Oryzias latipes: one gene and its partners. The main gene of each other region encodes a partner of the protein of the gene in region 3 in a complex. Links are inferred from orthologs where the notes say so. Each region holds a gene or a part of one and is shown on either strand. Other genes may lie near its edges. The genes, in order: polr3d, polr3c, polr3e, crcp, polr3g, polr3k and polr3f.

Evidence for each region.
Region 1: polr3e (region 3) and polr3d share a complex: the UniProt entries of both Homo sapiens proteins name them as parts of the RNA polymerase III complex. The link is inferred for Oryzias latipes from reciprocal best matches to the Homo sapiens genes POLR3E and POLR3D.
Region 2: polr3e (region 3) and polr3c share a complex: the UniProt entries of both Homo sapiens proteins name them as parts of the RNA polymerase III complex. The link is inferred for Oryzias latipes from reciprocal best matches to the Homo sapiens genes POLR3E and POLR3C.
Region 4: polr3e (region 3) and crcp share a complex: the UniProt entries of both Homo sapiens proteins name them as parts of the RNA polymerase III complex. The link is inferred for Oryzias latipes from reciprocal best matches to the Homo sapiens genes POLR3E and CRCP.
Region 5: polr3e (region 3) and polr3g share a complex: the UniProt entries of both Homo sapiens proteins name them as parts of the RNA polymerase III complex. The link is inferred for Oryzias latipes from reciprocal best matches to the Homo sapiens genes POLR3E and POLR3G.
Region 6: polr3e (region 3) and polr3k share a complex: the UniProt entries of both Homo sapiens proteins name them as parts of the RNA polymerase III complex. The link is inferred for Oryzias latipes from reciprocal best matches to the Homo sapiens genes POLR3E and POLR3K.
Region 7: polr3e (region 3) and polr3f share a complex: the UniProt entries of both Homo sapiens proteins name them as parts of the RNA polymerase III complex. The link is inferred for Oryzias latipes from reciprocal best matches to the Homo sapiens genes POLR3E and POLR3F.

Annotation. Positions count from the first base shown.
Region 1 is NC_019867.2:17,411,597-17,415,859, reverse strand, and holds the start of polr3d (DNA-directed RNA polymerase III subunit RPC4), read left to right. Parts: upstream 1-1,463; 5' UTR 1,464-1,583; intron 1,584-3,510; 5' UTR 3,511-3,542; coding exon 3,543-3,707; intron 3,708-3,900; coding exon 3,901-3,944; intron 3,945-4,051; coding exon 4,052-4,206; intron 4,207-4,263. UniProt on the Homo sapiens protein: DNA-dependent RNA polymerase catalyzes the transcription of DNA into RNA using the four ribonucleoside triphosphates as substrates.
Region 2 is NC_019874.2:18,840,176-18,844,359, forward strand, and holds the start of polr3c (DNA-directed RNA polymerase III subunit RPC3), read left to right. Parts: upstream 1-1,384; 5' UTR 1,385-1,503; intron 1,504-2,380; coding exon 2,381-2,527; intron 2,528-2,854; coding exon 2,855-3,119; intron 3,120-3,275; coding exon 3,276-3,565; intron 3,566-3,669; coding exon 3,670-3,774; intron 3,775-4,184. Other genes in the region: E3 ubiquitin-protein ligase RNF115, read right to left, coding at 1,214-1,291. UniProt on the Homo sapiens protein: DNA-dependent RNA polymerase catalyzes the transcription of DNA into RNA using the four ribonucleoside triphosphates as substrates.
Region 3 is NC_019877.2:13,142,977-13,147,272, forward strand, and holds the start of polr3e (DNA-directed RNA polymerase III subunit RPC5), read right to left. Parts: upstream 2,801-4,296; 5' UTR 2,733-2,800; exon of another isoform or gene 2,657-2,732; intron 2,601-2,656; exon of another isoform or gene 2,435-2,600; intron 1,713-2,434; 5' UTR 1,666-1,712; coding exon 1,627-1,665; intron 571-1,626; coding exon 520-570; intron 25-519; coding exon 1-24. UniProt on the Homo sapiens protein: DNA-dependent RNA polymerase catalyzes the transcription of DNA into RNA using the four ribonucleoside triphosphates as substrates.
Region 4 is NC_019872.2:8,449,030-8,453,222, forward strand, and holds the start of crcp (DNA-directed RNA polymerase III subunit RPC9), read right to left. Parts: upstream 2,801-4,193; 5' UTR 2,725-2,800; coding exon 2,717-2,724; intron 1,604-2,716; coding exon 1,567-1,603; intron 1,469-1,566; coding exon 1,370-1,468; intron 1,297-1,369; coding exon 1,202-1,296; intron 1,072-1,201; coding exon 1,014-1,071; intron 1-1,013. Other genes in the region: protein FAM111A, read right to left, coding at 3,661-4,193. UniProt on the Homo sapiens protein: DNA-dependent RNA polymerase catalyzes the transcription of DNA into RNA using the four ribonucleoside triphosphates as substrates.
Region 5 is NC_019867.2:16,255,786-16,260,076, forward strand, and holds the start of polr3g (DNA-directed RNA polymerase III subunit RPC7), read right to left. Parts: upstream 2,801-4,291; 5' UTR 2,551-2,800; intron 2,421-2,550; 5' UTR 2,400-2,420; coding exon 2,289-2,399; intron 1,984-2,288; coding exon 1,854-1,983; intron 1,310-1,853; coding exon 1,244-1,309; intron 1,167-1,243; coding exon 1,107-1,166; intron 1,029-1,106; coding exon 964-1,028; intron 326-963; coding exon 215-325; intron 135-214; coding exon 45-134; 3' UTR 1-44. Other genes in the region: mblac2 (metallo-beta-lactamase domain-containing protein 2), read left to right, coding at 3,086-3,527. UniProt on the Homo sapiens protein: DNA-dependent RNA polymerase catalyzes the transcription of DNA into RNA using the four ribonucleoside triphosphates as substrates.
Region 6 is NC_019866.2:8,138,547-8,141,709, reverse strand, and holds polr3k (DNA-directed RNA polymerase III subunit RPC10), read right to left. Parts: upstream 1,677-3,163; 5' UTR 1,571-1,676; coding exon 1,460-1,570; intron 1,365-1,459; coding exon 1,277-1,364; intron 741-1,276; coding exon 613-740; 3' UTR 501-612; downstream 1-500. Other genes in the region: snrnp25 (U11/U12 small nuclear ribonucleoprotein 25 kDa protein), read left to right, coding at 2,045-2,257, 2,877-2,967. UniProt on the Homo sapiens protein: Core component of RNA polymerase III (Pol III) which synthesizes small non-coding RNAs using the four ribonucleoside triphosphates as substrates. Can mediate Pol I proofreading of the nascent RNA transcript.
Region 7 is NC_019859.2:414,638-418,860, forward strand, and holds the start of polr3f (DNA-directed RNA polymerase III subunit RPC6), read right to left. Parts: upstream 2,801-4,223; 5' UTR 2,704-2,800; coding exon 2,642-2,703; intron 1,770-2,641; coding exon 1,652-1,769; intron 1,577-1,651; coding exon 1,509-1,576; intron 1,445-1,508; coding exon 1,377-1,444; intron 1,310-1,376; coding exon 1,197-1,309; intron 1,121-1,196; coding exon 977-1,120; intron 443-976; coding exon 335-442; intron 266-334; coding exon 74-265; intron 1-73. UniProt on the Homo sapiens protein: DNA-dependent RNA polymerase catalyzes the transcription of DNA into RNA using the four ribonucleoside triphosphates as substrates.

The DNA of each region.
Region 1 (4,263 bases), on a different chromosome or scaffold from region 3:
ACTTTTGTCTTTGAAGAGACCCATTGAAAAGGATACATTGACTCCTTCTGCTTGGCAAATTTTTCATTTTGTGTATATAGAACATAAAAAAACATACATTTTTCTTGCCAAGTTATTCTTAAAAGAAAAAAAATCGTCATTAAACTTGGAGTTTCAAACATCATCTAAACTCTATATCTTGAATTCCCCTTTAATATTTTCTCACACTAAACCATACTCTAATGACATGCAGCTCATAAAAAGGTAACCTAAACTTTCCCTGTTTGATCAAATTGATTTATTTAACTGCATCTATTTATATTTTTCACATATTAAAAACAAATATTTTCTTTGCACTCTGAAGGCCTATTGGATGTTTCCTTTAACAGATTATTTGTATTATTACTATATCACACAGTAGGAACATTCATTACTTATATCACAAACTCTATTTTAATTCCTTAAAAATGTAAAGATGTGAGTTTCCATTTAGAGTTTATATTAGATTTAATCTGTTTAACTGCATGGAAATATTTAATCTTACTGTTTTATTTAACTGCATGCAGTTGTTTGCATAAGGTAGCAAATGGATAGTTCAGTTGGCTCTGTGTAGGACTGGATCATGGGAAACCAGGATCCGCTTCCCAGGGGCCACAATGAACTTGATGCAGTGTGGGCCCTTAGGCAAGACCCTTTGTTGTACTGCGTAACTATGCAGCCACAAGGGGGCCCAAGTCTAGGTTCCCCTGTGCCGGTCCCCAGCTAGGATAAAATACAGGGTTGTGTCAGGAAGATCATCTGGCGCAAAAATCTCTGCAAAGCTACCTGTGAGAATCAGGGAAAGCTGATTCGCTGTCGAGACCCCAGAAGGAATATGCTGAAAGGCGAGAAATATAAAAGCGTGAATGTTGCATAAGACTATTTTGCTGTAAGACAGAAAATAACCAAGGAAACAAGTGCCCAAACAAATGAAATATTTATTATTATTATTATTATTATTATTATTATTATTATTATTATTATTATTATTATTATTATTATTATTATTATTATTATTATTGTTAGTAGTAGTAGTAATATAATCAGTTCCCTTAGCATGTCAGAGGAAAATAACATCTTTAGAAAAAAAAAATTTCCAATCTCGAAATATGCCATATCTTTTGGTTCTTCACATCTGAGACATTTATTTCAAAACATTCAATAACATTAATCCATGCAAAAGATTTTTATGAATCTGACAAAACTTGCAGGAAAACTAATGCACGATATGTCAGAACTCAAAATATAATTTTCATTTAGCTGTTTTAGGAAACATTTGGAAAGACTAGTATAATCGTTTATCTAATCTTATCTTTTTTATGACAGTGAATTTTTTTGGACTGTGGATTCTGAAATAAAACATAAAAATAAAACAAAATAATGTTTCTAAGCATGCGCGTTTTTCTGCGCATGTTTGATCCTCGAGAGCAAGTTGAAGCCAAAGCGGAAGTGTCATGGCGCCGCTAGTGAATGCAGCGGTGGACGAGGCAACAGGATTTTGTTTCTGATATCTGGCAGGTTTTAGGGGGGAAAACTCCGAATAAGGACCACCGAGGACGTGTCGTGTAAGTTTTTGGAGAACTGCAATATGTTAAGACTTCCTCTGGACAGCTTTCGCGTTGTTTGTGATCTATCTTACTAGCCACGTGTTTCTGTAACATTTTTCTTCATTCATCGTATGTAAATACTGGTTGTGTATTTAAATCACTGACAAATATCATTGTAAACACAATTTATTCTCAATGCTTAGACTCGAAAGTTTAAGAAATCATTCCTAATTAATGTCTTGAATTGCTTACGTTCAGAACCACAACAGAGTAAAAAAGATAAAAAGAAAAAGGTTACAGAACGGACTGAAAGTATATTTTTGTTTATCCCGGTATTATTACAAATTACATTAATGTAAACCTCAATAACATTAATTTTAGGTATGGGGTCTAATGATTAATTAATAAAGTGACACATCAAAACAGATTTTGTGGCTGAAACAAGTTGATAATGGATTCAAATCGAACTGTACCATTATAAAATCCTTTCAAAATTATATTAAATTGATAATCGATCTTGGAAAGTACCATTCAGATACATGCTTGGTTTTTTAACTATAGCGTAAAAACGACGTGATGGTGATGTTAGCAAAGAAATGTCAAAGCATCATTCCATTGCAATGTGTGGAAAAACAATTAATTTAGAAAAGACATGTGACCATAATCACAATAGTGTTCAGAAAAACAGCAGAAATCATTGATCGATTTTCTGGTCTTGTTACAAACTAACCAACCTCCAGCTGGCACAGAAACATGCCCTCTTGACTGTGAAGGAATTGAGCGTCCCCGCACAACAAATCAAACATACCCTGTAAGACGCGCATGCTCAATGTGTTTGTTTAGGGAAATAACAGAATTCTTTTTTTTAATTGGACAATTGCAACATACAGAACAAGAGAATGCAACAATTATGCACATATAATGTACAGTAGAATAAACGTGTTACAACATTAAGAAAATTTTAATTATTAGAAGCAATCACAAAAGGCAATAACAAATAAAAATAAATAAATAAAATAAAACTAAACAAAGAAAAAAATAAAATAAAGTTAAAAAAAAATAATAATAAAAAGAGAAAATACGAGAGTAAACTTATATCAGTAGTCCAAAAAATTTACAAATTTCAATTGTTTTTTGAGCTTTTGTATTTTTTGAAGATGAAATTAAGTTTAAATATTGCTGCAGTTCAAGTGACAGAATTTGTGGACATGAAGGGAGGGACACGCAAATCCCCTTTTGTAGCGATGATAAGACACTAAAAATCTTTTCTTTATCTTTTTGCTAATTTTAGTGTCACGTGCTGTTGAGCATTGCTAATTTTCTTGCAAAGATGTATTACAAAAACAAGTGCGTTGATCTTATTTTGCGAGATAACAGCTGGTTCTTTTAAATTTTGGCATAGGGGCCAAAAAAACAAAACAAAAGAACTTCTAGCCTGTAGCTTTACTTTGAAATCCAATGATTGGCGACACACGAGGATGAGGGGCCATAAATAAACGTCACAGCTGAGATCACCTGGTCAGAACACAGTACTTTCTCAGGAAGTTGAGGCAGGCCCTCTTCTTTCAGGAACTGCTGGTCAGGTTTTATAAGGCCAACAATGAGGGTTCAGTTCTAGTGCCGCGCTGTCTGAAGGCACAACAGAGGACAGGAAGACCGTGCAGGAAGTAGTAAGAACAGAGGGGAGGGGGATAGGAAGTGCACTACCAGACTGATTGGGAAAGAGTTGTATTTGGAAAGATGCCACACACCCTGGACATTACGTAACTGTTTTAAAGGCACACGCCAACAGAATCCAGAGTAGTGTTTCACCTGGCAGTAAAATGTGTGCAACCTCCTCATAAAGACATTTGAAAACAATTTTTATGTAATATTTGTGTATTTTCCTTTTAAACATCACCATTGTCTGAGAGAGATGATGATGAGTATTATTGTTGGCCACCAGGTTGGGAGTTTGACATCCCTTTAAAGTTCAGGATGGCGGACTCCGGGGAGTCCAGCAGTCAACGCGTTCCCACTCCTGCAGGCGCCAGCAGCAGCAATGTAGGACTCCAGATGGGGCGTCGACCACCAGCTGGACTCTCTCCTGGACGCCTCCCTTCCATGCGGTCAAGGGACCTCACCCTGGGAGGAGTGAAGAAGGTTAGCATCATACCTCACTCGCCATTTAATCTTTGGGTTAGGAATTGTGTTAGATGAGTTAATCACACCAGATATATTAAGAAACCCTTCTGTAGCTTCTTTTGCCCTACTTGCAATCATGATTTTTTTTTTCTAGATTTCAAAAATAAACAGCTTTTCTTATTACTCATTTATCTTTTTTTTAATTTTATAGAAAACCTTCACACCCAACATCATTGGCCGAAAGGTTAAAGAGGAGTAAGTTGATTTTATTTCTAGGATTGAAAAATGCAGTGAAGAACAAATAAAATTCGTGTAAACTGAAGCTTTAACTGTTTTAAAAAAAAAATTTTTGGTTGCAACAGAGCCAAAGTTGAGACTGATCAAAGGAGAGATCGGAGAGGTGGAGAACGTGGTCGAGGGCCGAGAGACAGAGGCAGGGGCCGAGGTCGCCAAGAGATCATCCAGTCCCATTCTATCTTTGAGCAGGGGCCGGCCGAGATGATGATGAAAAGGAGAGGTGGGGGGCCAGCAGGACTAGCATATGCAGTTTGCTGCTGCAGCTGAACTGCCATTT
Region 2 (4,184 bases), on a different chromosome or scaffold from region 3:
AAGAGACAAGTGAGTAAATCCAGAATTAGTGACCAATTATCTGAAATTTAAAAATAATGGGGAGGCAATAGTCACAGCTCTGTTTCCAGTTTACTGGTCGATTAAACAAATAGACGTTTGGATGTTTATTTTTACTTTATGGCACAGTAAATCACAGAACCCTCCATCTCTGTATCAGTCTAACAGATTGCTTCTAAGAAGCTAACAGGTTGCACTTTTTAATTTAAACTTTCAGTCAAAATCTAGACACAACATAAAGCAGTGTTTCCTAAAATTCGGGTTATATAACAAAATTCATTTACTCAATACATCAGCCAGTTATAAGCTAAATTTATAAAACATGTAAGAGAACACATTCATGTTAGAAATTCAGATATTTCTGGTATTTATTTTAACCTGTCCAAATTTTTTCTTGTCCAAAATGAAATACTATAATCATTATCATCAACAAAATAACTTATATTTCAATGATTGAAAAATGTGTGTCAATTTTTATTTATTTACCAAGGAACATTTGTTTCAAAAACACAAAACGGAGTCAACAAGAGAAAAAAAACTACAAATAAAAAAACAAACACTTACAGTTAGTTAAATGTTTTTGTAAAAACGTAGGAATGTCCTTTTAAATAAATGGCCTTTTAAAGAATATTTGTAAAATAGTAATAGTAGGCCATTTAAACGCCTCTTCTGCCGACATTGTTACGTTTGACTTTAACACTAAAACTGAAAGTAAACCACAACGTATGACATCTACAGAAAACTTCCCCTGCTTATACTGCCACTGCTGTTAACAGAAACAAAAACTAAATGTGTATATATACTGAAAAGGAAAATCTGAGTGACAGTTTATGAATAAATAAACTCTCAGATTAATTCGGGCTGTTTTGTTCAAAAACATGCATCTATCATTTACCACCAAGCACACAACTTCTACCTTGAAGCACAGAGATTAGCGTAAGTATTTTAAAACAGGCACGAATAACAAGACCTACTATCGTTAGTTTTAAGAGTAGCTTAGTTTCCCCTAAAACGACTAACCGGAGTTTCTTTACTGACTTAACAACAACAAACACTGCTATATGCTAATAGCCTATGGGCTTAGCTGTAGCAAGAAGTAGCCGAAACAAACAGCTACCTGCCGGAAGGCAGACTTGTCAGCCGCGCATAACACTCAACATAAAATGAGCGAATAACCAAAAATAACGCGACTTACCGGGAGTTTGGGATTTACTTCTCCCTTACAACAGTGACAGAAAAACCGATGCGAGGGAACAGCCGCAGCCTCCGCCATCTTCCCGGAGCAGCACAAACACTGACGTCGGTCCTCCACTAGCTGAAGGGAGCTGTCCGCCCCCAGCCCGGCATGCACTGCGGCACTGTTGTCGAATCACAGCAAGCAAAAAACCGGGAGCGGAAGTGTCTGTTTGTTGTCATCGACTAGCCTCATGCGCTAAACTATCTGCACGGAGTCTGCTTTCATTGCGAGATCTGAAATCGAAAAAGGTTTGTGAAAAAAAAAAAATGCCAGGCTTATACCATCAAATATTCAGAGATAATTTAGTAAATTCCCAGCATGCAATTGTAATTTTACTATCCAAAAGCCCAAGGGGGAAAGAACTTGAACAACTGTTGACTTTTCAAATTAGAAGAGATAGTTTACATGCACTGTATGCTATAAGGGAAACTACTTAATGACCGATCTAACTTTTTATTTTTAGATTTTACCTGTTGGAATAAGTGGTGCCTGTTTTAACAAAGTAAAATACTATTATTGTTGTTTGTAGTTCGTAAACTAGATGTATAGAGATAACATAACTAAAAAAAGTGCTGTTTATTGAAAAACTAAACTGAACTAAAATAAAATTGATTTATTGTTTATATTGGTTCATGTTGAACGATCAAATCCGATCCGATTCACTGATCTAAAATCGATCCAGAACATCTTTAGCCAAGAATTCAACCAGTGGGACTCAGAAAATAAATACCTGGATTCTGAACAGTGCAGGGGAAGTTTTCCACATTCCCTGTATTTTTTTGCAACATAATTAAGTGTAAATTAAACATGTTTACAAACAAACAAGTAAAAAAGAATGAATGGACAGTTTTACCTACATTTTGCTGCCATTCGATGTGTTGTCTGTTTTAACGTTATAGTTAGAAAAAAAGCCTACTGTGCCTTAATCCAAATGGTATTTTCCAATATTGATAATAATTGATTTATTTCCTTTTAAAATTAATTCATATTGGTATAGTTTGATTCGATTAACATCTTGCCTCAGATGGATGAATCGATTCATCTTTACAGCCTACTAAAAGCACATGCATTAGTTCTTATTATTAACTTAGTGGTTTTCATTGAACTGTTGGTGTGTTTGTGCAGATGACAGCCCAGGAGGTCCGTCTGTGTGGTCTTCTGCTGCAGGAGCACTTTGGAGAAGTGGTGGAGAAAGTGGGAAGAAATCTGCTCAAAAGTGGAACGCAAAATTTAAGAGCCATTGTTCATGAAACTGGCTTGTCAGTGGATCTGGTAGGTCAACGCAAGACTGAGATTGCATTCGCTGTAGTCAGATGTTCTTTGAAAAATAATCAAAATTATTCATTATTTGAATTATTATTCAAAGCAAACGGTCACATATATTACTATGTCCCTTGCAATATGGCAAAAGTTAGTTCTTTAAAGATATTTGAACAATAAGAGAAACAAAATTATAATGTAATTATTCAGGTAATATATATTCATATTTGAAAACAGTTTTACCTGAAACTGATTGCTTATCAGTTTTTTGTCAATACAATACAGTGATGTCTGGTAATGTTCATGTACTTTAACAGGACTTCTTCTTCTTTCATCAAGGTAAAGAAGTCTCTGTGCGTTCTTGTGCAACATGGAGCCTGTTCGTTTATTCAAGGTCGAAAAGGACCGGGGAGCCCGACGGAATACAAAGCCCACTGCGATCGGGTACTGAGAATTCTGCGCTACCCACGTTACATATACACAGCCAAAACGCTGTACGGCGACACCGGTGAGCTTATCATAGAGGAGCTGCTGCAGAGGGGCCACATGACGATGAGCAACACAGTTAAGACAGTCGCAGACCGTCTAACTCAGAGTATGGACGGTGAGCATCAGAATCAAACAAAAGACTGTCCATAAAAGAGATGATCTGTTTTCTGAAGGTTTTTTTTTCAGTTAAGCTTTGGATTGAGGCCTAAAATATCGCGATCAGTAGATTCATTTTCTAATGAATACTTCCTTTGATGTTTTGTTGATACAGAGGGGTCGAGCATGGATTATGGTGAAGTGTCCGCCACCTTTTCCAAACTGGTAGAGACTCATTTTCTCCAGCGCTGTCCCCCAGCAGCAGGAGCAGGAACGACAGGGAGCAGTCAGACTGCCAATTCGACTTCTGCAGCTCCTGCCAGCAGCACTGCACCCACACCGGAAAGCTTCCCCGACTGCTACAGGGTTCCTCAAGTGACACTCATAGGCCGGAGCAAACGCTCGCTCGCCAGCGAGGAAGGAGAGGACCAAAGAAATGCGAAAAAAGCGAAAATGGACCCAGAGGTCAGAGAGACGTTTGTTAAAGCAAGATGTTCACTGCATATGCTAAGACTTCTATGGTTGTGACTTCTGTTTGTCTTCTCATAACTTGGATCTTTGGTGCTCAGACTCATGGGGATGAGGGGATTTACTGGCAGGTGAACTTTGAACGGTTCCACCAGCATTTCCGGGATCAGACTATCATCAGTGCTGTCGCCAACAAACTAGATCAGGTGGGAATTCCACAAAACATTTCAAACTAACCATTTTTTTTATTCATTAAAAGAAAAACAGGTTTTGAAAAATAATTGCCTAGAAAAAAAAACCCAAATACATTTCCTCAGTGTATAATTATTTGATGGTTAAAAGTAAAAATGAATAGTATTTGAAAACCCTCTTTGTATGGCTGAAGGAATTTAGCATAAGCATTTGGTTGTTTGATAAGACTATCTGACTTTGAAGTATTGACCTTAAAATCAAAGAAAATTCAAATTTTAAATGAAATAAAGTGATAGTTTTTGGAAGTACTCCTAATAATTCCTCTTTTTTCTTGGATTGTTCTCTGTGCTTTAAATACTACAGCTTTTTACATTTATTTCATTATTAATTATTTATTATTATTATTTATTATTAACTAGCTGTC
Region 3 (4,296 bases):
CATAATAGCCGGCCGGACAGGATACTGCACAAAAAACGAAAGATTAAACGATGAGTCAACACAACAAGCCAGAGGAGAGCTTTTTTTCAACTATCAAAGTTTAGAAAAAATACTATTTTATTAATCTGTTATTAAAGATAAATAATTAAAAGCTTAAGGAATAAATGACTAAAAAAGGAACATTTTGAAGAACAAATTTTAACAGAAACATTTCATTAAAATCAAGATAATTGAAATGGGTTTGGTGCAAGTTACACATTTTCAACAAAACATCTGAAAGGGCAGAAAAAATGCTTATTCATTATGTTTGTGGCTCTCAAAACAGAAAAAGAATAATAATTTTGAATTCAATTTTTCCTTTTTATGTGTATATTTATGTGACTAACACATTCAACTGACTTCCATTTAACAGTAAAAAAAATAAATAAAAAAATAAAAATAAAAAGCATTGACCATGAGGAAAGTAAAAGGTTTTAAGCAGAATATAAAAACAGGCACAATAATGAAGGAAATGCTTACCTGGAAAAGATAGAGCTTATCTGCGAGGCTTTTGGCGAGGTACACGTCAATCTACAGAAACACACAAATGAAAATCAGACTTTTCCACTCTGCACAAATGACTCTGAGCTTCAAGGTTTTCAACGTAATATTATATGAGTCTTAACTGCATTTCTATTCATGTAGTTATCTAAATAAAATGTCTTAAAACATAATAAATAAGAAAATTGTTAAACTAAACATTATTTGTTTAGCACTTTACATACATAACGTTGCTTCCTAAAGTGCATGAAACATAAGTACACAAAAAGTCAATTAAAAAATAGTTTTTTTGAAAACATATTAATAAACAATACCAAAAAGGTTTTTCTGCCTATGAATACATCTGCCTCTTAAACACAACAACTTCTCTTAAACAATGGCACAAAAGGCTTCCTTGGGCATTTTGTACAAACCACCTGCTAATCTACACACTAAAACTCCCACACCAAGTGTAAACTGAAGGAGACATTTCCAGTTGAAAACCCCAAAGCAGCGGCACTCCTTTTTGTACATATGGCTCAATATGCAATCCTGCAGATCAGGTTATAGGAAAAATGCTGCAAAACTCAGAGGCTCTTCTTTTTTGGGGGGGTTTCCCAAAGAAACTGATGACCCACACTCTGATGAAAATTGTTTTTTTTTTTTATGATGATGGAGGACATGTATGTGAAAATTAACCACTCTAATTAAAATGCGTTTGGAAAAACCAAACCACTTGCCTAATACTGTTAATGTTGTTTAATGTAAATATGTGACCGATTTCAGAGGCTGTCAGTAGTTTCCATTCTCTTTAGAGAAGGTCACAGTGTAAACACAGATGAATTGTTAGACAACAGCATGTTGGATTGTTTTTCAATCGACCGCAGACCACAGAAAAACGTCTTCAAATTAGCTTAAAACAAACACTAATACATGCTAGTTTAATGGGAACTACATTTACCCATAAACATGGTCATTTCCTTATTTTTGAGATCAATAAAGTTTAATTCATTCATTCAAATACATATTTCTCATGGCTCAAAGTTGCTGCATAGCAGTGATCAGAAGAGGATTGAAACTTTATTTAAATTCCAGACGTAAACATACCTCCTCTATAATTGGATCATCTTCATCTCCACTGGCCATATCTATAGGATCAGGGGAGCAGCAGTGATATATCAGAGGACTTCAACCTGGACAAAATAAATGCAAAGCAAGAATCCGTCATTGATTAACACTGCTTTTAATATGCTACAGCAGGTAATCCAAAAGAACAGAAAGGTTTAACAGAAGTCCTAGTAATCCAGATGTACATTATATTTGTAAAAAAAAAAAAAAGTGTTTCATTGGTAGTTAAACGTATAACAAGTTACATTTCTGTATCTATATGCGATCTAAACTAATCTGTGATGATGCAGCATGTCAGATGATGCTTTCACGGACCCATCACGGCGAAACTGATGTAATAGTACGCAACCATCCAAAAAATTGAAGTTTTTCACTTCCCTAAATACAAACGACGTCCAGCATCCTTGTCAATCTGTGATTTATGTTGGTTACACAATTTTCTGCAGGCCCACAGTTCAGAAAAGTCAGATAGTTCTTGCTTCGTTAGCTTCATTAGCCTAGCAAGCATCAGCTCTTTAAATTACTAGCCACAGGCCCCCACAACAGAGACACTCAAAATAACATTTCTTTACAAATACGCGCTTAAGTAGACAGAGACGAACGACACTTTTAACTGTGGAGTTTTCTGAAAATTCCAAAACTGAAGGTAGGCTGTAGCTAAGCTAACCAGAGTAATGTAGCTTAGCGTGCTAACACACACATCAGAGATTTATGATAAACAAGACAAAACATCAGATTTAGCACTTTGGACATGTGGCATCCCCATAGAAACAGCGTGAGGCCTCACCTGCTCACCCCCTGCAGTTTAAATATATAACACGTTCAAGAACAGTCCATGAGTGAACTACTAGACTTGAAGCAAACTACCGGGCTTGAGGTACCATGATGTTGACGCTGTTTCAACAGACACGTGGGGAGTTGGACGTGCTCGTGCAAATAATGCTATTCGGACCAAACTGCGGAACTGAGCACTGTCACGTGTCTTTATAACCTATTTACTTTAACTTACCTTTTATTCACTAATTCGTTCTGCATGTGTTTTCTTTAACTGTTAGATCAAGCGTTGAGGAAAAACAACGACGTACCAAAAAGAATTCTTGGCAGCGGTGGGATTCGAACCCACGCCCCCGAAGAGACTGGAGCCTTAATCCAGCGCCTTAGACCGCTCGGCCACGCTACCGTGATGCATTGCGAAGGAAAATGTGTCATCATAGTCCATAGGCAGCTGAACGCTGCCTATTCATGTTCAATTATAAATGCAACCACAAGGCTGCACGACGCATTACCTGTCCCATGTCCGGCTAAAGGACATGGGACATATATATATACGTGCCGTATATGTATATATGAATTGTGTATCACGAAACAACAAGAACCGAGACATTCGGAAAAGTTTTTTTTTTATTTGGAAATAGGTAAGTACCAATGAAGAGAAACCTTTTATACCTGGGTTACACTAAGACTGGTATAATTTACTTAAAGAATAAAGAATCAATAAATACTTCCTACATTTAACACAATTGAGTGTCAATCAGTTGTGTTAAATTTAAAACAACTCATTGTCACTCAACGTCACCCTAGTGGTATCCAGTCGAGATGCAACAATTCACTTTCTCCACGATTTTGTTCAGTTCAATGGTGAAACACACGGTTCAATTTTAAACAGGGAATTGTGAGATGGTTTGTAAATACAAAGGGTTGTGTCATGAAGGGCACCCAGTAAAACCAAAGTCAATACAGTCGTGCAAACTACAACAATAAATTTTATACTAATCGTGGCAAAGGTGTAACAACAACCACCAATGGTACAGTCATCCACAGGGTGCCAATGGAAATTGGACATGTATGAGAGGTGTGAGGCAGTGGTGAGATGGTCTTCCTTGTTTGTGTGGTGATGAACAGACTGACAGATGAAGTTAGACAGAAATCTCTGTGGACCATGATGTCTGCAAATGACATGCATTGAAAGCAGAAAGGAAGTGGAAGAACAACTAGAGAGGTGGGGGTTTGACGTGGAAAGGAGAGGACTGAAGGTCCGCTGCAGAAGATGGGGAGGATTTCCAGTCTAGAACAACAGATTGGTTGTAGAGGCATATGCAGACAGGTTGTAATGGGTGGAGGAAGGTTTAGGTATGATGTGAGACAAAAGAAAAATGTTAGCAAGAATGAAAGGAAAGGTGTAGAAGATGGTGAGAGAGCAGCCATGTTGTTGGTTTAAAGCAGAGGTCTGCAACCATCAACACTTAAAAAGCCATTTGACCTTTTATGTGTTGGAGTAGTAGGAGCCACAAAGTCTTTAGGAAAATTTGATATTTGCTTTGCATTCATTACTTTGTTATTTTTGTAATAAATATGAATTACCGGTATATTAATTTTTTGACTTGAAAAAGCACAAATACCCCTTGTGCTATCCTATGGGGTCAAGATGACCATTGACGTGTTCTCCCTACCATGACAAAGGTGGATAAAGGTGAAGAGGATTTCATGTAATCCATGGACACCAGTGAAGATCACAAATCATTGAAGAATCTTGTGGGGTCTAGATGACCCAACGCCCAATGTTAAAGTGCCTAGGATTGCACAACGGATTCAAAGAAAAACTTGCGTTTTCTCAAAATGTGAAATTGTTTTTTACTTTTCACAGAAGCT
Region 4 (4,193 bases), on a different chromosome or scaffold from region 3:
AGATAGCACAAGGGTTAAAAGCATCTCAAAAGTGAGAAGGGCGACATCTGCAGGCTGAGTTTTAGAACTGCATGTTAGTGGATGCTAATGGAAATGGCCTCATTTGTGTTCACTGCAACAACTGCTTTATAGCTGCTTTGTATTGAAAAAAATATTTTTATTTTAAAAGGATACAGATTGCAGAGAGACAAATGGTAAACAGGGAGTGCAGTTCTTTAAGAGGCTCCATATAGTTTTGGAAATTCACTTTTTAAAATGTACTCTAAGAGATAATCTGCTCTAGAATAACTGATTTAGGACAATATATAATTGCTGTTGCATTATGAAACCAGATTATTTCTTAATAGAGGGAGCCTTCTACACTTGGCTTTAGGTGAGTAATTATTGGTTGCTAAAAAAGATTTTTTCGGGACACACCACACCCCAGTGAAGCAGCATCAGAAGTCTGCACTCCACATCCTGGTGTTACTCAGTTTGCTAAAAGAACGGCTGGATTTCTCTACTTGATTTTTAGTCAAATAGTGCAATGTACCCATTTTAAGGATTAAATATTTCTAAACCCATCACAGCCATAACCTCAACGCTTAGCTAAAGCAATAATAAGGCTTTGCTTAAACGGGTCATGAGGGTCTTTTTGGTTTGCTGTATAAGGTATTGTTAACATTGTCTTGTAATAGCTGCTTCAATAGATTATTAATGCGTTACAGGAATGGGCTCAAGCCTGGATTTACTGTGAATTGCCCATTCAAACTAACCCTGCAGACAGGAATAGCATGAAAAAACCAGAGTGGTAGAACCTGTAGGGCAATCTACATGTAACAAATGAAGTTGCTGATGGATGCATGTGAAAAAGTGCATGTTTTGGGTTAGATTTGAGCCTTTTTGGGTTGAGTTAACAAAAATACAAATATGAGAAAGATCTCATTTGTTATACAGAGCTACCATAGGAATACATGAGTAAATTATTTAGGAAAAAAAGATAAAACATTTAGAAAGACATGAAAAATACTTACAAGCTGAATTTCCACTGCACTCTGAGGCCGTTGGTTTAACAGCTGCAGTTTTTCTGCCCTTAAAGAGAGAAAGATGGCAAAATTTTAACTTTGAGACATTTTTATCCCCAAACTATACATCATTTATTAAGCGGAAATTACAATTGAAGCCCCAGAGGGGTGAAAAATATTATCTTTTAGATACTGACTTGGTCAGCTTCTGAGGCATCATGGTGGTGAGGAACTCTCTGACAATTTCAGGACTCTGTCTGCTGCATGGCGTCTTTGACAAATACTTTAGAGTCTGAAAGCAAATGCAGGTGAGAACATGGACTGGATTTGACAACTAAAGCTCAGACAGTATGAATAGTACCCACTTCATACATGATGGTGTTGAGGTCCTGTTGCCCGAGGCTATGTTTGCTTTTTCCAGCATCTTTCCTCTGTTCTTTCAGGTCGGTGAGAAGTTTGAATACCTGAGACGAAGACATTATTTAGCTTTTCTGAATAATTAATTTCATTACCAGGCAGGAAAATCAACAAAAACCCTTAATAGACAGTCTTATAGTCTCACCTCATAGTTACTGAGCATGGCCGCGTTTGCATTTTTTCTGTGTAAAAAAACCCAAATAACAATTGTTAAACATTAAATTATGAGATAATTAAAATATCTGTTACCAAAACAAGCTTTATAAGATTGGAATATTTCCCATGTAGTTTATATATTTAGTAAACATTTTTCTTCTGTGATTTGATCTTCACATCCTTGTGTTACTAAAAGAACGGCTGGATTTCTCTACTTGATTTTTATTTATATAACGAAATTTTCTTAATCGGAACCTCAGATCTTCTCTTTAATGAACAGCAATAATTTTTTTTTGTGTTTTCCCTTTTTAAAAACTAGAAACCCATCAATTAGATTATTTTAAAGCCGTTGAAACTTACTGAAATAGATATTAGCAAATGTTTTTGTTTTTCAAGTTTGAAGAAGAAAAGAAATACAATTAAAAAAAGCAAACTTTTGATAAATATAAATAAATCTAATGAAAAACAAGACAGAATACTGTTTAAATTCAAACCTGTTTCCCATATTTCTTTGCTTCAATGTTATTTAGAAAAATTAAGTTTGTGATTTCAGGCAAATATGAATTAGATCAGAGCTCAAGTGACAAGTTGACAAATGTTGTGGAGTGCGGCTGAGTTGGCTTATATTAGATGACAAAATGTTTTTTAGCTGCTTCATCATGTCATAACTAATTCATTTATTATTGAAGAGCCAACGCAGAATGTGTTTGTAAATGGAATGTTTCATGATTTGAAACAAATATTTGATAACACAAACTCAAACTAATCCGACCCGTGCTTTTTGTTTCTCCCATCTTCTGAAATTTACGTTTATAAACGATTTCGCGACCTTTTGTCCCGTCTCTAACTTCGTCCCCAAACATAATACAATTTAAAACATTTGTAGACTGCAAACTCTTCAAAATGGATCAAAGTCTCCCGGACTCAATATGTTTTAATTCAGTTGTTTTGTGTGTCGATCATCATCTCTCCATTTTTTGGCCGACAGCATCATCCCAACGGAACAAGCAAAACATCACATAATAAACCCGAAACTGAAACACGCACGAAACTACCATCGATCACAATTAAAATTGTACATGTAAATATACATAAAAGACTTATTAGCCGTTGTTTTGTTCTTAAAAAAAAAATCTTACACTTCCATGTCGACTCTTAGGTTCCGTTACAATAAAGGGGTTCGTGTAGAAAATAGGGGAGTATATTGGTTCCGCCTAGCAAAAAACGCATTTTTACATAGAACGTGGGATCAGAGAAAACAGAATAAATATTTAAAAAAGTGAAACACTGCCGAGATGTTTGAAAATGAAAAACAATGTAAGAGTATCTCAAAAAGTGTAAATTCGAAAGCCCCTTCACCAAACAGTTCAATGAAATTAACAAGGACTTCCAGAGCCTCATGCAGCAGCATCAGGGAGAAGGTGAAGTACACCCTGAACACATCGAGGGTTATTTTAAACATATTAAACATTTAACATTTACTGTTAGGGTAAGGGAACAAAAAAGGAATACACTAGAAGTCACTTTTATCAGATTTTAATACAGTTTCATTAGTCATGATTTGAAGCACACAGTATTGAACACTTTTTGCTTTTTAAAAACAAAAACAGAAAAAGTACAATGAATTTTATGCTACTGCACTGAGTAATGAGTAATCTATATTTGAAAAAACAAATAAATCCCAAAACATAATAAAACAACCAAAAAAAGGAAACCTTTTGTTGGCATTTCTTTTCAAGAACTTGATACAGGAATGAGTCAAGACTGAAATGTAAGAATTGGACATCCATACAAGTAAAATATACAAGAGTGAACAGATTTTTTCCAGCATTATTTTTTCTCTGAACTGGAGAGTGATGGTTAAAAATGTTTCTGGGACAGAAAAATCACATAATTATATTAAACAGGTGCATGTGAATTGCTTGGAGCAACAATAAAGTAAACAATAAGTGCAGAAATTAAAGCTTTAACTTTTATTAAAGCTGAGTTTAAAGCTTTCGTTTAATTTTTGCTTTTCACTGCTGGAATTTCTTTGTTTTACTGCAGTCAAGCCCAGGATAACTATAAAATGAGATGATGAGACCTAAACAACCTCCATTGGGACAGGTTCCTCAGTTTGGCAGAAAAACTCAAGGAATGTTTGTACAACTTTGTCATCCACACAGCTCCTTGCAGCTTCTTTGAACCGTTGGTTATTTCTGCTCTCAACTATTTTTTTGACACCGTCTTTGACGGCGGTGCCTCGAGTGTAGCTGCAATCAAGATATTCTCTCAAAACGTCAAACTTTTTTCCCTCCACCATTTGGATAATAAAATCTTCCAAAATGAAATGCAGAGGTTGGGCATATTCAACAACAGCCCGTCTTTCCATCCCTTCTTTGTCGTAGGTGAATCCTCCTGAATGCATTGCAACCACATTGCAGTGGTTGTCAAAAACAGGAGAGCCAGAGGAGCCTTCGAAAAAACTAGATTCGTATTTCAAAAGTTTATCAGCAAAGAAATACTTGGTTATCAGGGGAACCCTATCAACAACCTGGCTGTGTGGAACAATCAAACAGGGGTCGATCTTTTTCACACCTCCCTGAGGATGCCCGATAATGCTGATTCCACCACCAT
Region 5 (4,291 bases), on a different chromosome or scaffold from region 3:
ACAGACATTTCATATGCAACTGTCAAAGCCATGCAAAATGGGCTTCAGTAGGTTGCTTCCCCATCCATGTTATCGTCACTTTCAGCAGCAAAATCTTCACCGTTGTCAAAATAGCTTTCAATGTAGTCATTTTCCTGAGGAGCAACAAGCAGATAAAACATTAGTTGCATCAAATAAGACCAATGCAGATTTTCCACTATTCCTGGGACCAAACCTCTTCTATGTCTTCTTCGAGTTCTTCCTCTTCGATTTCTTCATCGTCCTCTGCTTTCTTCTCAGTTTCCTCATCTGACTTCTCAGGATTTTCATCTTTCTTGGCCAATTCCTGAGCAGATTTTTTGGGGTGGGATTCAAACTAAATGGTAGGCTTTCTTCCCATTTAAAAAAAAGTCTACATTTTCACAGCAGTTCTCTTTGTTCTGCTTGGCAGTATGGTTTGGGCCAATGTGTTTAAAGCCGATCAGTTAAGGAAGAAATGTTCAAGTCTGAACAGTTTCCTTTTTAAATAGATTTAAGCCCATCAGACACTAAAGATGGGTCTGTCAAGATCATTCAAGAGTCAAACTGTTTTTAAACTTGATGTAATTTGATCAGTTTCAGAAAGGGACATGCGATTTTTACTTTTTTTACCAATTCAAAATCAGAAGCACCAGTACAATAAGCGTTTTTCAGTCTAATGTTGGTATTAAAAAAACAGGTAAAATTGTGCCTTATATTTTACACAGATGTAGACTTCTGCAAAATCTTGCTAAAACTTCGTACAACCATAATCTTTTTTCACATGGCTTTAAACTATTCTGTCCTTATGGCAGTTTCCAAACTAGATTTTTTTATTTTAAAGGCATGTGCCTACTAACTTCAGCACCGAATGACAGCGCCTAAAGACATCCTTGTACAAAGTTCAATTAAGAAAAAAAAACATTTAAATAGTCTAAAAAAGCTAAAGAAGGAAGATAGGCTTACATCCAGTTTACTGAGCACATTGGCTTTATCTTCCTTCAACTTCTTCACAGTTTTAGTCTTGGTGCCTGAAGCAAAAAACACTTTTTAAATAAATAAAAAACACGCATTCAACATTTCCTGCATGCAATGTGACTTTAATTTACCTTTCTTAATTCTACGTTTTTTACTTTGGGGCATCAGTTCTTTGGGAAAAAGGTTCCAGTCTGAAATGTGTGACACGATGTTTGCATTACTTTACATGACACCTTTTGAAAAAAAAATTTCCATCTAAAGCAATTACCTGGAGTCCATTCCTCACTGTTAATCTGGGCTTGTTTCAAGTATCTTTCAGTGTATTTCTCCACCTCTGTTTCATGTAAACAGAACAACAGAGTACATTTGAAAAAAGTATCAGATCAGTGAGAATTTTTTTACTAAACATAAAAGATAAAAAACAAATGAAAGTTAATCTCTGGAATCAATTCATTGCTACAGCAAAAATAAATTTATTGTTTAGACATTTATGCATTGTACCAAATTATTTGTTCATAAATGAATCTTAAAAAGTATTTTCTAATGATCAAAAGTCTGGAACCTGGATTAGAAATTGTCTTTTTTTTAACAGGTGACTTAAATTAAATGTACTCCTTTAAGTTTTTTCTTGGGTTTATGTCATAGACCAAAGAAAATTAAAGATGTTTAAAATATCTGTAATGATGGACCCCTAAAAAAACAACAACAATTGAAAACTTCATAATGAGGCATAAGCAGTAACTATAGAATCTCATTTCTCTTATGTATAACACTCATAAAATGTCTGATTTCCCAAAAGCAGCAGTTATCTCCACTTCCAGCAGCCCAGAATTATCTTGACGTAGAAATCTCTCATATGTCAGCACTCTCCCCCCTACCCGTTTTGCTGGAGCAAGCTTTAATGTTGTGTGGTAGCCTCTGCATTGCTCCTCTTAATTCCTGTTTTAACGCCAGCATGTAGTCTTCCTCTTCACCTCCTTTGAGTGGAACCGGTTTAAATTCAGTAGTCTAAATAAGGGCAAATGATGCAAGATATTTATTACAGTGACACGTTTCTTGTTTATCTGAAAATTGGTGTAATCCAAGCAGGCAGTCATTCTCAGAAAGTGTCCATAAACCAAGTGTTTGACACAAAATAGATTACATCATAGTTTGCTTTCTGAGCACATTTTACAAAGTACTGAGACTACACAGGGAGAGTACACTAAAAGCCCTACGTTGATGACACATGCCAATTTATTTTACTTAAATAAAACTTGAATTTTTGCTAATTAAACCTTCCATCTTTCCGTGTTTGTGTGGCATTTACTTACTGGAAACAGTGGACTGGGCCCCACCCTGGCTTCTGGCATGTTGCCTCTGCCAATGCCCAGAGCATCAATGTTGAAGGTAAACGCAGCCACCCCGCGGCCTTTGCCTGCCATGGCTGCGCCCCTGACCACGACCTGCAACACACGGTTCATCCTCAGGCAAGCACCGTCATTGACAAGCACGTGCTTGCCGGTATTGCACCATTGAGTCCGCTATGAGAAATGACAATTTTTCCCTGATATATATTTTTTCATAAATACTTACAGGAGGCCTGCTGGTAAAACTCTCCTTTTATGGAGACGTGAGATAAAAAAATAAAGTTTTATAACTATAAATGACACGTGTTTCCCAATGAAATCTTATTGAATTTGATTTATTTGTTAAAGCTAAACGGTCCGAGTTTGTGGCTTAGCGGTTTAGCTTACATTTAGGCGAAAAAGATAAGTAAATAAACCTATCGCTTCTTTCTATGGTTTTTTTGTGGAACCGGCTGGGAAACGCATGTGTAACCAATAGACTAGTCAGCGTGAGCAGATGCTTTCCCCTCTCCGCCCCTGCTTACGTCCCAATAGGGCGTTTCTTATTTTCGTCCAATCGCTGCCGCGTTCACATCTACCGTCATTTCTCACTTCGACCAATGGGCTGGCTGCTTTCAAACAAGGGTGTGTGCGGCCACCATCATTACAGCTTCAATGAAACCACACTGCTCCTAGCTACGAGGCTACTAACACTGTTGTGCTAATTCAGCCGACGGCGCGTCTCCCTTCCGAAGCTTACCTCGACATTTGCATGTCCTGGGATGTCTGCAGCCGACTGGTACGCCCACAAGTCGCTCGGAGACGGACTATTCTGGATCCAGGAGCGGTTTTATCAATCGGACAACCGGGCCAACATCTGGTTGCTCCGCGGTTCGCATCAGGACGTGGTGATAGACACCGGCCTGGGGCTGAGGAGCTTACCTGACTACATCGACTCCAAGGGGCTGCTGGGAAAAGACCCGCAGAGGAAGAACCCGCTGCTGGCCATCGCCACTCACGCCCACTTCGACCACTCGGGGGGTCTGCATCAGTTCCAACAGGTGGGCGTCCACAGCGCAGAGGTCGATGCGCTGGCCAACGGAGACAACTTCGAGACGGTCACCTGGTTGAGCGACAGGGAGATAGCCGAGCGCCCCAGTCCAGGGTGGAGAGCAAGGAACTACAAAGTCAAGGCTGTTCAGCCCACGCACATACTGCAAGAGGGTAGGCAGGGCATCTGTCAGCACACATGTGGTGCTTGGTGCTAGTGGGGGCTAAATCTGGGGTCAAACCTACAACTTAAAAACTTCATTCAGTGTATTAGAGTTTCAAAATCCTTCTCATTCTCAAACCAAATTTCTGCAAAACGAAATTAACAGATGGCCCAGTGACAAGCCAGACACAAGAAACCAGACTTTCAAATATTTGCACATGGGTGAGGTTGGGATACTGTGTGGTCCTCACCATTGTCTTGGCTCTCTTCCTGCAAAGCTGATCTATTTTTAAGTCACCATGCTGATGACTTTGGCAGATTCTGTTACTTTCAGGAATGAGTGTGTAGGTTTTTCTCACACACACAGCAAAGCACTGGGATATTTATCACCCACCATCCTGTCTGTGAATAAGTATATTCTGGACATAAGCATTTTCTAAACCAGGGCTCCTCATTCCTGGTACTCGAGATTTATCGCCCTGCCTGTTTTCCATCTCTCCCTGCACTGCTTGCTGCTGACTACCTGGAGCAGGTGTGTTCATTCAATCAGAATGTGGAGACATCTGATTGAGCTAATCATCCGCTAGCAGGACTTGGAGATCTGGAAAACCGTCAGGGTGGTAGATCTCGAGGATCAGGAATGAACAGCCCTGTCTAACCCTTGTGCTATCCTATGGGGTCAAGATGGCCATTGACGTGTTCTCCCTACCGTGGATAAAGATGGAGAGGATTTCATGTAATCCATGGAAACCAGTGAAGATCACAAATCATTAAA
Region 6 (3,163 bases), on a different chromosome or scaffold from region 3:
ATCATTGCATTGATCACCTAATCTTGACATTTGTCATCTATGACATAAATAAATGCATGTTAGATGAAGCGATAGCCTTGACTGAGCAGTCTTTTCAGATTAAGCTAAAAAAATATCAAAAATACAGTTTTTATTGGATAAACCACTAACAGTGTAAAAGCACTGTTCCGTCACAGCATGTCCGATTTCATTTTTCACCAACGCTTTGGAGGTGCAGAATTTGTCTGCATGAGCTACACATCCAAATAAGTGATTCTCTTTGGCTGGCTCCTAGATTTGTATTTTTTTTTCTCTTCCTTACCTTAAGGATGATTGAGTTGCTCTAGAAATTGCATTTTGAGCTCAAGGATTGCATAGAAAATAAACGTGTGGGAACCAGTGGTATGCATTGCTCTCAATGTCTGCAACAAGATACAAACATCTAAGACAATTGAATTGACTGATGTACACAGGTATTATTTTATCAATAAAAGCTCTGAAATAAAGAATTTGTCCGTTGATTGATTCTGAAAAGCAAATTTTATTTATAAATAATAATGGGTCCAAAACATTCTTTACATGTGCTTTGATTGCCATTTAAACTAGAAATAATGAGTGAATGAAATAAAATGCTCAATCTCTCCATCTGTTTCCACACTGAGCATTACAGCATTTGTAGAAAGTCGTCATTGGTTCATCGGCTGATCTGGTCTGGATCTGCATGAAGTAGGCTCGAGGATGCTCGCATTTGGGACACGTTTCTGTGAAAAAACACAAGCAAACATGCATATATGTACACACATGTTCAGAATTTTAGTTAGTTCTCGGATTGAACTTCTTTCTGTGGCCCACATTCAGGTTGGTACTCGCCATAGCATCACACAGCAACACTGCCTCTAGCAAAAAGTAGTCCATTTAAGTGTACTACAAGTATACTTAGAGTGAGGCAGTGTACTTGAAGTTCAGTCTATATATAGTAAACATAAAATGTCACAATTTAGTCAGAATAAGTGTTAAGTTAATGTACTCCCTACACGTTACATGGTCAGCAGTATATGTGCAATACTTGCATCCAAGTACACTTAATAAAATAAACTTCAAGTGTACTTGCAGCTAAGGGTGACTATTAACACCCTTTAAACACGCAAATGGACTGTTTCAAATAAACTTTAATTTATTCCTATGGAGAACATATTTGTCTTAGTAGTCAAATTAGTTTTTCTTGGCCTTTGTTTTATATTATTCTCTAGTCTATCCATGTTTTTTTTTAATTCTTGGTAACAAACTTGTTTGTTACCTGCAGTAGAATCCACGTTCTCCCACGCTGCAGCTCCACCCAGCACATCATCCACCTCTTTCAGCTTGGGATATTTTCGGTAGTTTACCTACAAATATTGAAAAGTTTGAGATTAAAAACCACCCTAAGAAATGTCGTGTTTGTTTCTCGAGTCAGAGTCAGACAGTGATAAAAGGAGCGTACCTTTCTCGTGACGTTGTGCACATAGGGACAAGTGTTACAAGCGAATCTCAAGCATTTCTGTCCTTCTTCTACGATTAAAACGTTTCCACAAGTAGGACAAAAAAGAAGCATATTACCAGATTATTTAAAGAAAAACTATCTCGGGAAAGATAGTAGCGACTACGAAATTCATTAGCAAGGAGAAGCAAAGCGGAAGCAGTTGCTCCGGTTTTACAGCTCGGTAGGAAACAAAAAAAAAAAAAACGTTTGTTAAAAATGAAATTGTTATTGTTAAAGAATGTATATAAATGTATAAATATATGTATAACATTATAAATAATATAATTATTTTAAAACCCCACCATCCGCCGCATGAAAAAAAGTTCTTACTTTTGATAAGCGGAACTATTTATCATGTTTTGATGATACCACCGGTATAAGGTCTGCGACACACAGCATTAAAATTCACACCAGTCTTGGGATACATTTTTGTAAACAGTATCCTATTATTATTATTTTAAGAATCTTTTGTACTTAATTGAACGCGTCAAAAAAGAGAAAGCGGTTTCATTTTTACTGAATGTATTTATTTTTAACCAATAATAGATGATGGAGCAGGAAACCGACGAAGGAGAGAATCGTTTGCAGGACAGTCACAGTCACAGTGAGGTGAAAGAGGAGAAGCTGGCTGATGAGACAGCTCCAGATGCCGAGGAGGAAGATGAGGAGTCTCTTCCACATTCAGAGATCCTTGATATCTTCGAAGAGGGACTTGCTCGACTTGTGCAGGACCCTTTACTGTGTGATCTGCCGATCCAGGTCATAGAAAAACACCACACTCCGCACACCAGGCAGATGTTTAAAGAAAATTTTCATAAATTGTAAATTTAACACTAAAGTTGAAACGCGTCCTTCTTCCGGTTTGTCTGACGGCATATTTGCATAGCAGAAAATAGCTGCATATATATTCTTGAAAAGCCAAATCGAATCCAATTTCAAAACAATCTTATAGCTCTAATTTATGTTTTCTCTCCTTTTTCTTCTTGAAACTGTTTATACGATTTAAGAATTATATACGAATAGCAATGAAATAAATGTTCTAATCTAGAATTAAGTACCAAACATGCATAATAAAAATAACAAAAACACAGGTTATAATCCATAACATTAGTATTGTCAGTATTGCTCTTGTAACATTGGACTATTATACAATAATCACATTTGTTTTTTTTTAATCTCATTTATTATTAAGCCCAGAAAGAAATCTGTTATTTACAACTGGTTTATCTTTCGTATTTGCAAATTTGTCTTTGAGAAAACATGAAATGTCTGCAGTTATAAAGGATTAACCAAGTCCATTTGACTGATTTTTTTTTTTTTTACCCTCTACTGTGTTAGAAGGATGAGAATCCACAATCTGCAATATTTTTGTGTTCAGGTGACTTTGGAAGAAGTAAACTCCCAGATTGCATTGGAGTATGGGCAAGCAATGACTGTGAAGGTTGTTAAGGCAGATGGGGAAATCATGCGTAAGTTCCAAAGTCTCCCAGCTGATTTGTATAATTAGTATGTGTCTATATTGTGTTTGTATGACTATGTCTGTGTTCACTGCCTGACTCATCAGACCTCATAACCTTCTTCTATCGCTCTGGAGTCCAATCTAAATGTTCCCTGACAAACGTTTTTTTTCTGGTTGGCCTTAATGGTCAGTGGGTTTTTTTTTAA
Region 7 (4,223 bases), on a different chromosome or scaffold from region 3:
GAGAGATTGGGGGGGGGGGGGGGGTGAGTGCCGCAGCCGGAGCGGCAGCAGGGGGCGTCGGAGCGCGGCTTACCGGGCACAGGCCGCAGGGCGTCTTCACCAGGCCCGCCGGCGGCAGCACGGCGTTCACGCCGCGGTACAGCTTCATCTGTCCGTCCACGCTGCCCACCGTCCCCTCCTTGGCGGCGATCACGGTCATCTCCACCTTCCCGTCGTAGATCAGCGTGTTCAGGATGGTCTCGATGTCGTCCATGGACAGGTCCACCTGCACACGGGACACCTGTGAGAACAGCTGCAGCTGTTGGGAGGGGCTGTGAGGTCACGGCGGGGCCACCTTGCTGATGCCCAACTCGCTGATGTACTTCCAGACTTCGTGAGACGTGGCGAAGGAGCTGTTCCTCTGAACCATGGGGCTCTGCTGGCCGCCCCGCGCCGCCTCCGCCTGCACACAGGGGTGAGTGGGGGTGAGGGGTGGGCCCCTCAGCCTGGTGCTACGTTCACACACGTGATGCGCGTTGAAGACCACAGAACCTTTGCTCGCCTACGGCGTTCATTCTGGACTGTGGCTACCCGGCGCCGTCTCCTGCGGTTGGACGACTCGGTGGGAAACGTCCAAATCTGGTGAGTCTTTTGTTCACAGCTCGATTCTGATCCATCATAGACTTGGCGTCGACACAAACCGCAGTTATTACTTTGTCCTTTCTGATCAAGTTTCAGTCGTTGGTACTTCTGCTTTGACGCCATCATACGTCGCAACCAACTCAGAGTCCCTGATTGGTCAAAGTTCAACTGGTTTCACGTTCAATGGCGGCGCTTTTTGTAGAGTTTGGAGGCGGAAGCGTAGACGCGTTCCCGTAGACTTTGGACTCAAAGCGGTCCCTTGAACGCGTTTCCCGGTGTAAACGTAGCTCTACAGCTGACCTCTGACCTTTGTGACCCATTGGTTTGGTGTTCCGTACATTTGGGTTCTCCATACCTTGCTCTGCAGGAACTTGAAGCACTGCTGGTTCAGAACCTCCACGAACTCGGACTCAAAGTCCTGGTCGCTGTACCAGGCCCCTCCGGTGACGGAGCGGTCCGGCTGCACGTTGTACAGCATGTAGACCTTCTTCTTGGACGCCTGCGTGGCAGACGAGCAGAGTTCAGGACTGCCGGCGGCCACAAGCACGTCTGGACCGGCTCGGTTCTGAACTCACGGCCACAGATTTGACGGCTTTGATGAGCTTCTTGCTCTCCAGGTTCTTCAGGATCTTGTTGATCTCGGTCAGAGGGAGGTTGCTCTTGAAGCGGATGTCTCTGCTCCAGATTCCTGCGAACAGAACATCTGGGAGGTTCTGACCCGCGGTACCTTCTGGAAGGAGGCAGACAGAGCTCACCTTTGTTTCCGGCATCCTCGATGATCTGGTAAACCAGCTTCTCCTGGTTGTCCGAGCCCTTCATCTTACTGAAACAGAGGATTGGGGTTCACGGTGGACAGAACCAGAACCTGCAGATGGAACGCTGCTCACCTGGCTGTCTGAGAATCTTTTAATCTGTACAGAAGACCAGAACTGTTCCTGAGCAAGTCCAGCTGGCCCTGGAACAAACACCAGGTTACGTTAGAACCCCTCTGCGCTGAAGAATGGATTGGGTTGTTCAGAACCGGACTAACCAGGGACAGCAGCTTGTTGATGGCCAGGGCCCTCTGCTGCGGCTCCAGGTGAGGCATGTCGTTCTGGATCACCTGGTCTGTGATTCCCTGAGGGAACTGCTGACACAGCTCTCTGATCCTGGAGACACACAGGCGTTCAGAGCTGAAGTTCCTGGATCAGAACCACAAGGTCCAGTCGCTCCAAAGATCAGACATCCCATAATAAACCCTGTGTCAGCTTGGGTCTCATCTCCAGTTGGAACAAAAAGGAACATCTTCAGATGGACCTCTCCAAGACGGAGGTTCTAGTGTTTCTGGTCCGTTCAGAACGTCACGTTGGATCTTCAGAAATGGTCCAAAGACCGCCTGAACTCTAGAATCCGTCTGACCCATCCGCGTGTTCTCTGAACAACATCCAGAACATCCAACAGCTGCAGCGATAGTCCTCGGACCTGGACCTTCAAACCAGGACTCGGATCTAAAACCTTCATACCGGGACTCGGTTCTAAAGTCTGCAGAACTGAACTCGGTTCTAAAGTCTTCAGACCTGGACTCGGATCTAAAACCTTCATACCGGGACTCAGTTCTGAAGTCTTCAGACCTGGATGGACTCGGTTCCTTTAGTCTTTAGACCTGAACTCACGGGACTCGAGTCCGAGTCCAGTTATGAAGACATTAGACCCGAGTGACTCGAGTCTAATGTCTTCAGACCTGCACTCGGTTCTGAAGTCTTCGGAGGTTTACTCAGATCTAAAACCTTCAGAACTGGACTCGGTTCTAAAACCACCTGAGCGTGAGCTGAGTCGGTCTCCCGATTCGAACCTCTGGAACCAGACAAAGTGGTTTCGGTCTTAGAAGCCTGCTGAGGTTCGGTTTAGAGTAGCCTCCGGAACCAGAACCGTTTCTGAACTTAAGACACGCGCGCATGAAACAAGCCAAGGAGCTGCTCGTAGATGAAATGCACGCGCTTCGGTCATGGACCGGCACGCGGCAGAATCGTGAGGTCCGAACCTGGTCTCCACCTCTGCAGGTTCCGCCAGGTTCGTCTCTTTCTTTACCCGAACCTCCGCCATCTCCCCGGTCCGCTGCTGCCGGTGACGCCGCTTCTTCTTCTGGGGGAACCACGGAGACCGGAGCGTTACCGCCCCCCAGCGGCGGGAGAGGCTCGGTCCTGTGTGACGTCATCAGAGCACGTGATGTCCGTTCACGTTTTTTTTTGTTTTTTTTTAATTTTGTTTATTTGAACTTTAAACATACACATAATAACAACATACAAAAAAGAGAGAAAAAGAAAATAAGTAAATAAATAAAACAAAATATATAGAATTATAGTTTACAACACTAGGGATTGTCATACAGCATGTGATCTTCAATGAAAACACACAGTTTTATTGCATTTTTGTTTTTCATCAATGTCAGAGATTTAAAATATAAACTGATTTCTTTAAGAAATGTATTAAATAATGGTTTCGTTTTTACAAATCTGCACTTGTGAATGAAAAATTTCCCAGATATTAATAAGGTATTGAATGTCAAATCAAATAGATTATCACCAGAAACTACTCCAAATAATATAATGTGCTTTTGTAAGTGAATAGAAATAGGAAAGGGAAACTTTGAAGAGCACCAAAAAAAGAAATCCTCCCAAAAACTGTAAACATACATACATTCAAAAAACAAATGATCAAGTGTTTCAATATTTATATCACAAAAAGAACAGTTATTCTCTGGAAAACCTAAACGTATGTGTAACAGTTCTTTGCATGGATAGACTGCATTCATTATTTTAAAATGGATTTCTTTGTATTTTGGGAAAATTGGATATTTAATGAACTGAGACCTCAACTTGCTTATTTCCTCTCTTGTGTAAAGCTGTGACATAGAATGATTTATGTCTAATGTTGGAAACAGGACGGCTCTAACAAATAAAGATCGTATAAATGAGTTTGGAAGTTTTGAATTAACCGGTCGACCATCAAACAACAGAGAGGGAAGCTGAACTTGATCATCATGAACCAGACTGGAGGACATTTGGACCAAAGTCTGAGGCTTTGATCACATTATTATATTATTTTCTATCATTTAATTTAAATTTACTGGAAAAAGTTTCAAATGAGATAATGTTTCCATTGTCATTCATAATATGTATTAATGACCAAATACTGTCATCAATCCAATGTTTGTAAAATATTGATTTGTTCCTACATAAAATATCCCAACAGTTCCATATGGAGTATTGTGTGAACTACAGTTATGTTTGTAGAGGAGTTTCCATACAGTAACAGCTGCTGATGATGAGTAGAAAGTTTAATAGGAAGTTTTCTGTAATCAAAATCACATTTTAGAAGCAACTCAATACCCCCTAGATGAGAAAAGATGTTTGAGGGAATATGAAACCAAATATTTCTCCCATTTTGCAGAAAAGACTTAAGCCAATTTATTTGAATCATACCATCCAAACTTTCAAAGTCTGAGGCTTTAAGTCCACCTTCACTGTAATCCTGAATTATTGTTCTTTTTTTATGGAATTAATTTTGTTTTTCCAGATGAAGTTGAAATTGTTCGGGTTTATTGCTTTCCTATGCTGGATAAA